Linked DNA regions of Callithrix jacchus. The protein of the gene in region 2 binds, or shares a complex with, the protein of the main gene of each other region. Links are inferred from orthologs where the notes say so. Each region holds a gene or a part of one and is shown on either strand. Other genes may lie near its edges.

Evidence for each region.
Region 1: CACNB2 (region 2) and STAC3 share a complex: the UniProt entries of both Homo sapiens proteins name them as parts of the calcium channel complex. The link is inferred for Callithrix jacchus from reciprocal best matches to the Homo sapiens genes CACNB2 and STAC3.
Region 3: CACNB2 (region 2) and CACNA1C share a complex: the UniProt entries of both Homo sapiens proteins name them as parts of the calcium channel complex. The link is inferred for Callithrix jacchus from reciprocal best matches to the Homo sapiens genes CACNB2 and CACNA1C.
Region 4: CACNB2 (region 2) and CACNG1 share a complex: the UniProt entries of both Homo sapiens proteins name them as parts of the calcium channel complex. The link is inferred for Callithrix jacchus from reciprocal best matches to the Homo sapiens genes CACNB2 and CACNG1.

The regions. Positions count from the first base shown.
Region 1 is NC_133510.1:62,453,339-62,457,453, reverse strand, and holds the start of STAC3 (SH3 and cysteine-rich domain-containing protein 3), read right to left. Parts: upstream 2,853-4,115; 5' UTR 2,660-2,852; intron 1,273-2,659; 5' UTR 1,272-1,272; coding exon 1,206-1,271; intron 966-1,205; coding exon 698-965; intron 461-697; coding exon 363-460; intron 160-362; coding exon 87-159; intron 1-86. UniProt on the Homo sapiens protein: Required for normal excitation-contraction coupling in skeletal muscle and for normal muscle contraction in response to membrane depolarization. Required for normal Ca(2+) release from the sarcplasmic reticulum, which ultimately leads to muscle contraction.
Region 2 is NC_133508.1:19,337,634-19,341,199, reverse strand, and holds part of CACNB2 (voltage-dependent L-type calcium channel subunit beta-2), read right to left. Parts: intron 1,016-3,566; coding exon 882-1,015; intron 741-881; coding exon of another isoform or gene 721-740; intron 274-720; coding exon of another isoform or gene 212-273; intron 1-211. UniProt on the Homo sapiens protein: Beta subunit of voltage-dependent calcium channels which contributes to the function of the calcium channel by increasing peak calcium current. Plays a role in shifting voltage dependencies of activation and inactivation of the channel.
Region 3 is NC_133510.1:15,911,524-15,915,089, forward strand, and holds part of CACNA1C (voltage-dependent L-type calcium channel subunit alpha-1C), read left to right. Parts: intron 1-1,525; coding exon 1,526-1,878; intron 1,879-3,566. UniProt on the Homo sapiens protein: Pore-forming, alpha-1C subunit of the voltage-gated calcium channel that gives rise to L-type calcium currents. Mediates influx of calcium ions into the cytoplasm, and thereby triggers calcium release from the sarcoplasm.
Region 4 is NC_133506.1:122,252,494-122,255,928, forward strand, and holds the end of CACNG1 (voltage-dependent calcium channel gamma-1 subunit), read right to left. Parts: intron 2,286-3,435; coding exon 2,148-2,285; intron 1,356-2,147; coding exon 1,129-1,355; 3' UTR 559-1,128; downstream 1-558. UniProt on the Homo sapiens protein: Regulatory subunit of the voltage-gated calcium channel that gives rise to L-type calcium currents in skeletal muscle. Regulates channel inactivation kinetics.

The DNA.
Region 1 (4,115 bases), on a different chromosome or scaffold from region 2:
GTTCACTTAAAAAAAAAAAAAAAAGAGATGGCATGAAACCATCTGTAGGCTTGCCCATTCCCTCATGTTCCATAAAGGGCACTTACAGAGATCTTTGACACAAGCATACTGCTGATTGCTGTAGAGTGGGGAACTATAGGCCCGACGGAAACCAGGTGGCTGTAGGGTGGAATAGGAGGAATCATTAGAGGTAGCAAGGTAGGCTAGAAGCCCATCTCTCTCATAAGTGGTCATCCTTTCTCAGAAAAAGAGATGGGCTAAGAAAGAAAAAGAGAAATGAATGGGATGGAGGAGGGACCAGCAAGGGGTAGCTGGTGATACGGCCCCACCTTTCTACACCTTGTTCCCCGGAGCCTACTCACGATCTTGCCAAAGCATCTCTGCATTTCCACATAGGACTGACAGTGTTCATGGATGTTGGTTTTGCAGTTCTTACAGCGAAGCCCAAACTTGTTATTGACTTGGGAGAGGGGGAGAAAATTCAGATAAGGTTCCAGGTTGCCCTTTCCCTTTGTACCACTGCTGCTACACTTAGGTTCCCTTTTCTGTCTAGGACCCTACTCTCACAATCTCTAATAGCACTGCCTTACAGCAACTCTAGCCGCAGCCCGTCTGCTACAAATACTCCTCTCCTATACCCTCTCCCCCAACCCCTGCCTTCAACATCATACTCTCTTCACTTCCCTTCATGACTCACGAACAATCATCCGGGCACAGACATCACAGAACTTTGGCTTCTTGAAGAAGTGATCTTTGAATTTGTGGGGCTTATCGTTGACAAGCTTAGGAGGTTCTGGGGGTGGCTCCTCCTCCTCCTCTTCTTCCTCCTCCTCTTCCTCATAGATGTAGTAGATGGGCCCACCCCCAGCTCCCACTGCCTCCCCATTGGCCTGGGGCTCTGGGGGAAGTTCCATGTCTTTTGTCCCTGTAGACCCCTTCCTGAGTAATTGCTTCAGCCGCTGTAGCTGAGGGAGGGAGTGAAGGAAACCCAGTGTTAAAAGGACTTGTCACCCTCTCTAGAGTACAGGGGCACTAGAGCAAACTAGACAGTTTTCTAGTTAGGGGTAAGGAATGTACCCTAGGATTAGGGGGGCTGCAGGTGGCCAGCAAAAAATGAGTCATACACAAATGTGATCAATTTAAGCACTCTTCAGCTATAATGGCTTCCCGCTCCCCACACCCAGTGGTCAGAGGCCCAGACTCACCCCACTTTGCCGAGTCTCTGCGGGGAAGGAGGGTTTAGGGGACTCCAGCACCTCCTTTTCTGTCATCCTGCAAGAGGTTGGACCCCACTATGAAATCTAATCCCTTTCATTCTTCTCTCTCTTATTTCTGTCCCTTGCAGTAGGGTGGTCCTCAAAGGGGAGGCTTTTGGAGAAATGTGGTTTCATATATATATATATATATATATTTTTTTTTTTTTTTTTTTTGCAATGAGGTCTCACTCTGTCACCCAGGTTGGAGTGCAGTGGTGTGATCACGGCTCACTGCAGTCTTGATCTCCCAGGCTGAAGCGATCCCCCTACCTCAGCTTCCTGAGTAGCTGGGACTACAAAGTGTATACTACCTGGCTACTTTTTTATTTTTTGTAGAAGCAGGGCCTTGCTTTGTTGCCTAGGCTGGTCCTGAACTAGCTCAAGCAGTTCTTCCATTTCAGCCTCCCAAAGGGTTGAGATTCCAGGCATGAGGCACTGCTCCAGGCCAAATACAAATCCTTTGGCAGTGTTTATTAACAGATAGATTTCATGGAGGTCTAGAAAAAAGCCCAACATGGCTGGGCGTGGTGGCTCACACCTGTAATCCCAGCACTTTGGGAGGCTGAGATGGGTGGATCACTAGGGGTCAGGAGTTTGAGACCAGCCTGGCCAACATGGTGAAACCCCATCTCTACTAAATATTAAAAAATGAGCCGAGTATGGTGGCAGACACCTGTAATCCCAGCTACTTGAGAGGTTGAGGAAGGAGAATTGCTTGAACCTGGGAGGCGAAGGTTGCAGTGAGCCAGGATTGCGCCACTGCACTCCAGCGTGGTTCTAGAGCAAGACTCTGTCTCAAAAAAAAAAAAAAAAAAAAAGAAAAACAAAAAAGCCCAACAAACGGAAGTCCCCAGTTAGTTCCTCAAACTGATACTTATCCTTCCATCCTGAGGGGTGACCCCAGAGTTTACAGCCCTTACACAGTGTTCACTGCTGAATGATTTACGTTATTTTCTTATAGGTACTTTGTTTCTCCTGGGAACCTGTGGGCAACAGGTATGTGATGCATACCTTCCCAGATCTCCTCTCTTCAAGAGGTTTAATGGGTGTCCTTGTGTGTGCACAAGGAAGGATGGACTGGAGATTTGTCCTCCCCTACTTCTTTCTTGAGCCCTGGGGGCACTGTGCCTAGTGCTGTCCCAGCCTGCTTCAGGGCTCAGCTATTTTAAGTTTTCAGGGTAATATGAGCCTTTCCTTCCCTTACTACTCCATTCCCTTCACCCCACCCCCACCCTTACCCCACCCTCCAATCCTAACTCATCCTAGAGTAGAATAATAATTTGACTCCTAAAACCCAGATGATTCACAACAAGGAGAGAAATGAAGAAGTTAAATAGATTACTGGCCAGGGCAGCTGGGGTGAGCAGCTGTGGAAATGGAAAGAGGATGAAGAGGTAACTTACGTTTGGGATTCCCTAAATCAGTCAGTCCACAGAATGTAGAGGAAGTTGGGAACCCCGAGGCCTTGATGGTGGTGCTGGGGAAAAACCAGTCCTCTTCCTTGGGGGCTAAGCCCCCCCAGTACCCTCTGTGTTCACACCAGCTACCCAGACGCTATTTGTAGACCTCCTAGCCTCTTGCGTTGGTGTCAGGGCTGAAATGACAGGGCTGGAGGAAAGTAGACAGCTGAGCAACACAGCTGACACAGAGAAATTGGACACTGAGAGGTCTGGGGCAGGGTTGGACCCTAACTCCTCCCATCCCCCAGAGCTGCTGTTCCTTGATTCTTTATCTTTGGCCAACAGGTTAATAACAGCTGAAATCAAGAAGGGACAGTTTCTGTTCATGCTCACTTAAGGGGAGTTTATTTTTATATTTCATTTATTTTTTGAGACAGGGTTAAAAAAAAAAAAAGACTAATGTGAACTCTCAGAGCTCTCCTATCAGCCACACTAGATTGCTTTTTTTTTTTTTTTTAAAGATGGAGTCTCACTCTTGTCGCCCAGGGGAGTGCAGTGAAGTGATCTGGCAGGTTCACTACAAACTTCACCTCCTGGGTTCAAGTGATTCTCCTGCCTCAGCCTTCCAAGTACCTGAGATTACAGGTGCCCACCACCATGCCTGGCTAATTCTTGTATTTTTAGTAGAGACAGGGTTTTACCATGTTGGCCAGGCTGGTCTTGAACCCCTGACCTCAGGTGATCCACCCGCCTCAGCATCCCAAAGTGCTGGGATTACAGGTGTGAGCCACCAAGCCCAGCTAGATTGCTTTTTTCTAAAAAAAATATATTTTATTGCATTTCAGGTTTTGGGGTACATGTGAAAAACATGCAAGATTGTTGCATAGGTACATACATGGCAATATGCTTTGCTGCCTTCCTCCCCAACACATATATCTGATGTTTCTCCCCATGTTATCCCTTCCCAACTCTCCACTGTCCCTCCCCTAGTTCCCCCCGACAGACCCCAGTGTCTGATGCTCCCCTCCCTGTGTCCATGTGTTCTCATTGTTCAACACCCACCTATGAGTGAGAACGTGCAGTGTTTGATTTTCTGTTCTTGTGTCAGTTTGCTGAGAAAGATGGTTTCCAGGTTCACCCATGTCCCTACAAAGGACACAAACTCATCGTTTATGGCTGCATAGTATTCCATGGTGTATATGTGCCACATTTTCCCTGTCCAGTCTACCATCGATGGGCATTTGGGTTGGTTCCAAGTCTTTGCTATTGTAAACAGTGCTGCCATGAACATTCGTGTGCATGTGTCCTTATAGTAGAATGATTTATAATCCTTTGGATATATACCCAGTAATGGGATTGCTGGGTCAAATGGAATTTCTATTTCCAGGTCCTTGAGGAATCACTACACTGTCTTCCAAAATGGTAGAACTAATTTACACTCCCACCAACAGTGTGAAAG
Region 2 (3,566 bases):
TTGTCTGAAGTAACGAGAGCTTGAGAATACCCTACAGTTTCCATTTAGGGGACAAGGAGCCTCACCGTGTAGCATTTTGGGTGGCCAATGGCAAAGGCTCTACACATGACCACTGGCTGCAGTGTCCAATGGGTGAGATGCTAAAGTCTGACTGATGGAGAAGGCAAGAACATTGGGAGAATATTTATATATGACAATAGGAAAAACTCACAGTAAACCGCCAAAACAAGCCTGCAGTTTTCCACTGGTCTTGTTCATCTGCAGATTTTGCACCTAGTGGATTAGAAGTTTAAATACTGACTAAATTAAAACTTGAATTTCTTTTTAGTACAAGCTATGTATCTGGATATCATTAATCAGAATCTAATAACTGCTTTAATATGCTTGATCATAAGTTAAATTTCTGGAAGACAGACAGACAGACAGAATAAGCATGCACAGTTAAGGTGCATTATATGGAGCTGTCGGTGTTTGACATCCTTGAATGTTGAAACAAATTCCCTTGGTGGTAGATATTATTCCATCAAAAAGGATAAGTACTGTAATGGTGTTTTAACAGGTCACTCCCTGAATTTAGTTGCTTTGAAATGCATAAGCTCAATTAGCTGTTGATAGGTTCTTTGCTTGGGACAGAAATGATTGTATTTCATACAACTGTGGGAATTAATGCTAATGATGCCAGTGGCAGGATAAACGCAGCTTATGTCAATGTAAACTTACCGATTTCTGCTTCTGCTTAGCTACAGCAGCATGGAAAGGAAACAAATAACAGAGCATGCACGTTATTGGCTTGTCAAAGGACGCAGACAGTCAACAGGACTAGCAATGTGACACAGTGCACTTCAGCAGGTGGACAACGGGAGCTCGGAAGTTAATGTTACCTTCTTAAAGAAGGGCATTCTTTTCTCTTTGGAGTGGGGTGACGTTACACTGTTTGCACTGGGTTTAGGGGAGCGGTGGTTTGCTGGAATATCATTTTCTTCTGCATCTAAGCCAGTAGCATCTATGTCTATAGCTATATACAGACAAACAATTCAAAAATCATCAGGAGGACAGGAGAGGAAAAATAGGTTATAAAGAAAATAAAACGAAAGCAAATAAAACCAACCATAGTAAAAATAAATAAATAAATAAATAAAACTATCATGAATGCTTAAAACAGTAGGCAAAGAAAATAAAATTTAAAGGTAAAGCATGTTAAGAATGCAATGTAACCAAATCTAACAAAACTGAAAGACACCCTTATAATCTGCTTGAATTAATCCATTTCATGCTAGAACTATTGAATATTTTCAGAGAAACATTTTATATCTGTAGTTTCACATGTAAAGTTGATATTCTCCTTATCAACTGTATAAAAGTGCAGCATAGAACATTTGACTACATATCTTATAGTATCTTAAACCAGCTTTGAGATAACAAGCAACTACTTTTTGAAAACTTTTATTATAGGTGAGTGCAAAAGTAATTGCGGTTTTTGCATTGTTGGAATTAGCTGTTTGCTATTGGAATACATTCTTAAATAAACGTGGTTACGTTATATATCATTTTAGTGGGCATTTCTCACTTTATGCTTTTTTGCTAACGACATTACTTGCTGTTTATGTTTATTTTAGACTATGGAAATGATGTTAGACCACAAGCAAATTTGATTGATTCTCTTATTCGAGTTCAAAATGGGTTGTAAAGCACTGGAGACGACTTGCAACATCAGCAGCGCATGTGGCCCAGGAACTGCTAATGAACGAGCAGTGTGGTGGTGGTTCAAGAAGCTTTGCAAAGGAGACAAGAGCCATGAAGACGTGGAGCATAGTGGCTGGCCACTGGAAGTTGACAACGGCCACTGGAGAGCCATCACTGAAGCTGATTCTCTTACAACTACATGAGAAGTTGCTGAAGAACTCAACGTGGACTATTCTACGGTGGTTCGGCATTTGAAGCAAATTGGAAAGGTGAAAAAGCTCAATAAGTGGGCGCCTCATGAGCAGAGTGACAATAAAACAAAATCGTTGTTGGGAAGCATCGTCTTCTCTTGTTCTATGTAACAACAATGAACCATTTATCCATCAGATTGTCACGTGCAACAAAAAGTGTATTTTATATGACAATCAGTGACAACCAGCTCAGCTGATGGACTGAGGAGCTCCAAAGCACCTCCCAAAGCCAAGTTTCCACCAAAAAAGGTCACGGTCACTGTTGGGTGGTCTGCTGCTGGTCTGATCCACTGCAGTTCTCTGAATCTCAGCGAAAATATGCCATCTGAGAACTATGCTCAGCAGATCGATGAGATGCACCGAAAACTCCAGTGCCTGCAGCCGGCGTTGATCAACAGAAGCGGCCTGGTTCTTCTCCACAACAACGCCTGACCGCACATCATGCAACCGGCGCTTCAGAAGTCAAATGAATTGGACTATGAAGTTTTGCCTCATCTGCCATATTCACCCGACCTCTCCAACTGACTACCCCTTCTTCAAGCACCTCAACAACTTTTTGCAAGGAAAACGCTTCCATAATCAGCAGGATGCAGAAAATGCTTTCCAAGAGTTTGTCGCATCCCAAAGCACGGATTTTTATGCTATAGGAATAAACAAACTTATTTCTCATTGGCAAAAATGTGTTCTTTGTAATGGTTCCTATTTTGATTTATAAAGATGTATTTCAGCCTAGTTATGATTTGAAATCCATGGTCCAAAACCGCAATTACATTTGTAGCAATAATACAATGTGCCTCCTTTTGCTGCTTTTATGTAAAAATCAGGGCAGTATGAAAAGTTTCACTAAAATTGCAACAAACATTTGAGAGAAAGAGAGAATGGAAAACCCAGTCATACACAAGGCAAATGATTCAGGGTGGGCTCCAGGAAGGACAGGATTAAAAGGATTTAGGTCTCATGAAGACTAATGGGAAAATACTGGGTCCCAAGATATCCGAATGAAATCAGTCTAATAAAATGACACTGAAAGACTTCTGGTGACTTATGCAAAGCCACTGGCTTTAACAGAAGTGGCAGAATGGAAGGGCACGAGGACCCCAGAGGATATGCACTGGCTTCCTTATCTGTAAAATGAAGGGTTTAGCTTTGTCGCTTGGAGTGCTTTTACTTTTCCCATTGTTCCACCTGAAAATAGAGGACTTAAAAAGTGTTACGAGAAAAAAAGATGCATAATCTCACTTCAAATTTTACAAAATGCTCCCAGGTACAATTGAAAGAGCTACAGAATTTTATCAACTGCAGAATCAGAGTTGGAAGTATTTTAAAGATAACTTCAACGGTCTTATTTTTAAGATTAAAAATCTCAGGCAGGGCGCAGTGGCTCACACCTCTAATCCCAGCACTTTGGGAGGCCGAGGCGGGTGGATCACGAGGTCAAGAGATCGAGACCATCCTGGTCAACATGGTGAAACCCCATCTCTACTAAAAATACAAAGAATTAGCTGGGCATGGTGGTGCGTGCCTGTAATCCCAGCTACTCAAGAGGCTGAGGCAGGAGAATCGCCTGAACCCAGGAGGCGGAGGTTGTGGTGAGCCGAGATCGCACCATTGCACTCCAGCCTGGGTAACAAG
Region 3 (3,566 bases), on a different chromosome or scaffold from region 2:
GTTCAGTTTGGAGCAAGAGGGTGGGCAGGGTTTTGCGGAGAACGTCCAGGGGAAAGAGCCGCACCAGAGGACAGGGCCACTTCCAGGCTCTTCCTGATCAGCTGTGTCCTCACCCCTTTGCCTTTTCCAAGCCTGACTCCGTCCCAAGGCAGGGCTCCCTGGAAACGGCATTTCACAGTGTCTCCCCAAGGGAAATGTTTCCTAGGAGAAGAGAAACTTCTATATCAGAAGTTATAAAGTGGTCACCCTGGGCATATCTAATCTGCAGGCTTGTTTGGTTTGCTACTATTTGAAAATCTGGCACATTCAGGTCAAAATCAAGACTCCTGGCATTCCTTGGAAAAGTCAGGAGACCTGCAATTTTGAGCTTGCATTCCGGCAGGGCAGCAGAGGGCTGGAGCCTAGTGGCAGCTGCCCCTTGAGATGGAGCATAGCATGTGTTCTGCAGATCTCCAAGCCCCTCCAGTCCTCCCCCTTCCCTCTCCCTTCCTGGAGACTGAAGCTGCCCAGCAGTTGCAATAGTGAAAATTAAACACAGCTGTACCGGAATAAGGGGCATTTATACCTCACATGTGTTACCTGCCTCACCCCGCTGGTATTTGGTTAAAACTCCTCCTATAGCAAGGGAGAAGTTGCCAGTCATAATCGTGCAGGGCCCTGTTCACACCTGCTCCCAGCCCAGGGCCCAGTTCCCAGGCTGTGGAACACACAGGAGGCAAGCCGAGCCCATCCTGCCCCTGCTCCTTCTCTTCCTTATCCTTATCCTCATCACCTGAGACATTCGTCACTAAGTAGCCTCAGGGACATGGCATGATTGTGACTCCACCTGACATGATCCCAGAAATCAAAGGCTCAGTCACCAAGGCCCAGGGATGTTCTGGTGTCAAAGTTTGCAACCTTGCAAATAGCTCCTTGCCCACTTCCCCAGGACAAGGAGAAGATACTCAGGGAAAACACTGGCTCTTGGCTTGAACTATCTGTGAATCCCTGAGGGGAAAAAGAGCATCATGCAGGAAATTCCTCATTTTCAAAACCGTTTGGCCGACACAGCTTTTAGCTCCGTGAGCACATCAGATTTATTGATTTTTAATCTGGTTAGAATCTTCTGGTCGTTTTCCCAGCCCCCACCCTCACGGTGTGCTGGCTGCTCTCAGGGACCGCTGTCCTAGATGTGCCCTGGAAACTCGCTCCCAGCCTTCAGGGACTTCACTGGAAACCTCCAGGGCAGCTTATACCAGCGGGAGCCTCTTGCACAGTCCCATCCCTACCAGTGTGTGGGTTCTCCCAGCTACCGCAGAGGGGAGCCCGGAGCCTTGAGACTGTGGGTCCCTCCCACTCTGGAGCAGCCAGGTATGAAGAAGGACCTCAGGTGCTCCTGGCTCCCAGCAGGGCTGTGCCTCCCCAAAGGAAGGCAGCCCGCCTTCCCGGGCCCTGCATTCCACTGGCCAGACTGTGGAAGCTGCTCTCTGGGAGGGGTGGACACTGAGGGGCTTCTCCTCCACCCACCTGTCCTTCTTGCCTACAGAGGGCCGGTGGCCTCTTCGGCAACCACGTCAGCTACTACCAAAGTGACGGCCGGAGCGCCTTCCCCCAGACCTTCACCACTCAGCGCCCGCTGCACATCAACAAGGCAGGCAGCAGCCAGGGTGACACAGAGTCGCCTTCCCACGAGAAGCTGGTGGATTCCACCTTCACTCCCAGCAGCTACTCGTCCACCGGCTCCAATGCCAACATCAACAATGCCAACAACACCGCCCTGGGCCGCCTCCCCCGCCCCACTGGCCACCCCAGCACGGTCAGCACTGTGGAGGGCCATGGGCCCCCCTTGTCCCCTGCCATCCGGGTGCAGGAGGTGGCCTGGAAGCTCAGCTCCCAGAGGTAAGCGGGAGGCTGGCCACCCTGCTGTATTTTCTCCTTGTCCTCTGATCCCCTGTGCTCTAGGATGCACTGCTCTGACATGCTGGGATGGTGGGACTTCCCTCCCACCCTGGGCCCCTGCAGAGCTCCTCCCTGTCAGCATCAGCAGCTCCAGCGTTCCCTGGTGGGGCTGAGAGAGGTGCCTAGTCCCGCTTAACTGTGCTGCTTTTCCAGAGTAGGACAGTGGCTCCCAGCCGGCGGCACAGCGCCCCAGCATGTCAGCCTCCTGACATGCCTGCCCTCCAGCTCAGAAAATAGTAAGAGAAGTGGAAGCTTCTCACCAAACCCCTGGAAAAGTGTCCATCCAAGAAGCAGGTACCTGCCGTGGGCCTGCCCATCCCCCCAGAGGGCCCATTTTCAAGTGGCTGCATGCAAGCCCCTAGGGCCAGGCATTTAATTGTGTCAGATGACAGGCAAGTTAGAAAGACCATCCCCCTGTCTGCTTTCCTTTCTGCAAGGTGGCTGGTTTAGCCACCCAGAGGCAGCACTGGGGCATCCCTCAGCTCACGAGGCCTGCACTGCTGCCTTCTGTGCTCAGGGCAGCTTGCTCAGCCCTGGATTTGATGTGCTGGCCTCAAGGGCTGGCTTTACATAGGAGAGGATCTAATCTAGGCATCTAGTCTTGGGGGCCTGCATTTGTTGTGGGGGCCTCACCCTTCTCTGCAACCTCACTCCCCTTCCCCCCACAGCCTTTGAGGACTCAGGTACTGGATCCCCACACCCCTTCTCCCCTGCTGGCCTCACCAAAGCCTCTGCTGAAGGAGGGCTCCATGTCCATCTTCAGCATCTCAGGGTGAATTCAATCCCTACCCTCTAAGGGCATTTTCCTGTGAGGCTTTGTTCTCTGTGACAAAAGGGGGAAGAGATGTTTAGAGGAGCTGGGGAGGAGACCCTGGGGAATTTCCTTGTCCCCACAGATACATCTCTCCATGAAGCAAAACACGCAAAGCACCCAGCACACAGTCAGTGCTCATGAAATGTTGGTTCCCTCTGCCCACTGCAGACAGTACAAACAACAGGGCACCAAGCTTCAGCTTGGTGAAGAAGAGGAGCATAACCCACATCCCAGCTCCCTTGTCCTCTCTGTCACAGCTCAAAGCTAAGGGCAGCTCAGGCCCTGGCGTTGCCTGTGCTAAGAATGGGCCAGCACGTCCTGTGCCCGGTGGCTCCCAGAAGTGCTGTTTCCTGCCTGCTCCGCTCTGCACCTCCAACTCCTCCCCCCACACCCTCGCCAAAGCTCGCTCCACTTCCCTCCCCTCCCAATCCTCCTGGAGCTCCCACCTGTAACCTTTCTTTCCCACTGCAGTGGGAGTGGCAATCTGCAGGCCTCCTTAAGAGAGAGAACTGCTCCTACCCTGCCAGTGATGCTCAGAGCCAGGGCACTGATCTAGCCCTCAGCTCTGAGAGGATGGACCAGGATCTTTCCCTGATGCTCTCGGGGATCCGAGGATAAAGTGGGCCCAGCATGCAAGGTCTACAGAAAGCAAGACAGAGGGAGGCACTGAGCTGAGCTAGACAGGAAAAGGAAGAGGCCTTGGTCCAGAGCTAAAGAAGGCATGGCCTGTGAGCATAAGACCCTGTCCCAGGAGGGAAAGGCACGTCCTAGTGTGTGAGGATCTGGAGCTCAGGAGGGATTCTGGCTCAGGAGG
Region 4 (3,435 bases), on a different chromosome or scaffold from region 2:
CCACGGGCCATAGTTTGCCAAACCCTGCCCTAGAAGTATGAACTCCAGCAAGATCTCCAGTGTTCAAGGCAAGGATCCCAGCTGCCGCTCACATCTGAACTCCACTTTGGAAAGCTGGACAAGTATTGTGGGGTTTTGGAAGGCAGAAGAGTGCAAATCATGGCTCTCCATGTGGCCCTTAGTGTCTAACTGCTAAGCCCTGATTCCTGATGTTCTTCACAACAAAAACCTGGCATCAGAAATCAGACACGGGCTGGCTGCTTCAGCGCTGCGTCGGCACCAGGTGCGTCCATGGCAGGCTCTAGAAATAACCCCTCCTATTTTTAACACCCTTGCTTCATCAGAGGGTTTCTAGTTTCTCCCGAAAACAACCCCAGGGCCTGGAGATATGAGTTGGAATTCAGAGCCTCTAAGCCACGTGTGTGGCCCTCTTGTCCCCACAAAAGTCCTCAGCATACCCAGGTGACCTGCTTTCCCTTCTCATTTGGGGTCAGGGGGCCCCTGGGATGTGGCTGAGAATCCAAGTGATTTCAATGCGAGGCGCAAGGAAAACATGAGTTTTCTGAGAGCTTTTTATTTCTAGCCACAGTCAGATTCTACCCAGTTAAAAATGCTTCCCAGGGCTCCTGGAAGCCAAGGAGGGGACGTTCGGCTCATCAGAGAGGATGTGTTTTATCACTGAGTAGGAGAGGCTGGTCCTCATTTTATCGTGAGTAGAAAGGCTGGCTATTTACATGGAGCACCCAGAACTGGCAAACACAGGTTGTCCCTGCGACGTTCATAAAGGACAACTGGAGGCAAATAATCAGAGGCTGGTACAGTGGGGACACCTCTAAGCTCCAGGGGACACTGGGTCCCTGCAAACACCTGTCCACCTGCTGGTCCTGCCTTCCCCGACTGTGGTCAGGTTGGGACTCAGGTCCTTTTGCTCTATTCCCAGGGGCGCCTGCGGCAGCCCAGGGGAGCTCAGAGAGAGGAAGCAGCCCGTGACTGTCACGGGTTGGGGGTGGGGGTGCAAATGGGAGCAGGGTGGAGCTAAAATTATTCCGGCCTCCTCTCTGGAAGGTTCCAGGCTGAGACCCAGCTTCCTGGGGAAGAAGCCTGAGGGTCACCGGGGCTGCAGGAAGTCTAGTGCTCAGGCTCAGCATCCATGCAGGACTCCCAGGGGTTCCGGGGCATTCGAGGCAGGGAGAATAGCAGGAGGGCGACACCGCCAAGGAAGAGGAGGACAAAGGCGGCACAGGAGCAGGCGAAGGACCAGGAGTAATAGTACTCAATCCAGACGGTGTCCTCACTGTCAATCATGCGCTTCACTGACTGCCTCATGACCTCCACTGAGACGAGGATGCAGAGACCTGGGGGCAGAACCAGAGACGCTCAGGGACCAAAGGGCCCCTGCCTTGCCCCCAGCCCCACCCTAGCCTGTGTACTTGGAGGAGGCAGTGATCTTGCCTCAGGGGAAAAGCCACCTCAAGGCAGTTTCTAGCTGGGAACCTGCAGAAGGATCCATTTGTCCACCCACCACCCAATCCTGCATCCCTCAGAAGGGTGACCACATGGCCAGGTGTGGCGGCTCATGCCTGTAATCCCAGCACTTTGGGAGGCTGAGACGGGAGGATCGCTTGAGGCCAGGAGCTTGAGACCAGCCTGGGCAACATAGTGATGAGACCTCTGTCTCTATAAAAAATTAAAATAAAAAATTAGCCAAGAGTGGTGCTGCACATCTGTAGTCCCAGCTACTTGGGAGGCTGGGGTGGGAGGAACCCTTGAACCCAGGAGTTTGAGGCTGCAGTGAGCTGTGATTGCGCCACTGCACTCCAGCCTGGAGAACAGAGTGAGACTTTCTTCCTCATCCCTCAAGAAAAAGTAAGAAAGGCAACCACATTTCTTTCCTTCTTTTGTCCATCATTCTCTGGGGGGTTTCTTTGGGGCCTTGAGGGCTGTGGGGAGGAATGGACAAACCGCCCAGCTCTCTCTCCCTCTAACCCACCTGGAGTCACTGAGGGCCTGGCAGGTTTGCCCCTGGTTGGGGATGGAGCCTGCGGAATGCCCCCTACCCAAATCCCGCGGTAGGCATGAGAGTGGAGCAGAGAGTCCCCCATGACATGGTCCTCCAGCCCTGCGTTTGGGCAGGGTCCCCAGTCTACCTGCAAAGGCGTAGAACATGGACGCAGGCCGCAGCAGGTAGTCCCTCTTATTCTGGAGGGACAGGAGGACACAGAGGCTGCCTAGGATGATGAAGCCAAGGCTGAAGATGGCGATGGCGGCCGCCGAGATGCTGTACTCTGCGAACACAAGGGACATGCAGCATGCGGCCTCAGCCTGGGAGCTCTCGTCGTGGCTGGTTAGGGACAACGCCTGCACCACAGTTCCCATTTCACACGTGGGAAAGCTGACAGCCCGGGGGACCGAGTCCTGCCCTAAGGCCCACGCAGAGCCAGGCTGCCCCAGGGCTTCTTTCACCCCTGTCTTTCCAGAGCACCAGGCTGCAAGGTCCGCAACGGGGCAGGGGCGAGAGGCAGGTGGCCGGAGACCTTTCTAGAGCAGAAATTGTCCTCCGATCAACAGGGAGGAGGCAATGGGACAGTGGGGGGTCTGTCTTGGGGTTAAGGAGCAAAGGATGACAGAGTGGCTTGTCATCCAGCCTGGTGCACGTGAGGCTCTGCCAGTGTGCGTGGCAGTGTGTGAATGTGTGCATGTGTCTGTGTGGCAGTGTGTGTGTCTGTGTGTGGTTAGTGTGTCTGTATATTAGTGTATGTGCCACATGTGTGAGATCTGTCAGAATGTGTATCTGTGTATGTTAGTGTGTGCCTGTGTTGGTGTATGTGTGTGTTATATGTCTCTGTGTATGCTAGTATCTGGGTCTGTGTCAGTACGATGGTGTGTGTCACCCGGTGTGTCATGTGTGTCTGCATGTGCTCGTGTTACATGTTTCTGTGCATGGTAGTGTGTCCGTGTGTCATTACCTGTGTGTCATTGTGTCTTGTGTCATTGTGTGTGTCATTTTGTGTGTGTTATTGCCTGTGTATCACTGCATGTCATATGTAATTGTGTGTCATTATATGTGTCTCTGTATCTGTGTCTTGTGTGTGTAATCGTGTGTGTCAGTGTGTCTGTGTCTTATGTGTGTATCATTGTATGTGTGTGTCTTATGTGTGTATCATTGTGTGTCACTGTGTGTCTGTGTGTGTCTTGTATGTGTGTCATTCTGTCTTGTGTGTATGTCATTGTGTTTCTGTGTGTCACTCAATGCTTGTGTGTCATTGTGTGTGTACATGTGTGTCAGTGTGTATGTCATTGTATGTGTGTATCTGTGTGTGTGTGTATCAGTGTGTGTGAATGTGTGTCTGCCCACGCACACTGTGTGCAGCTATCTGGGTGCGGGCAGGCTCTGGTCTGTACTCCCGACAGTGGGTGTGCGCCTGAGCTCTGTTG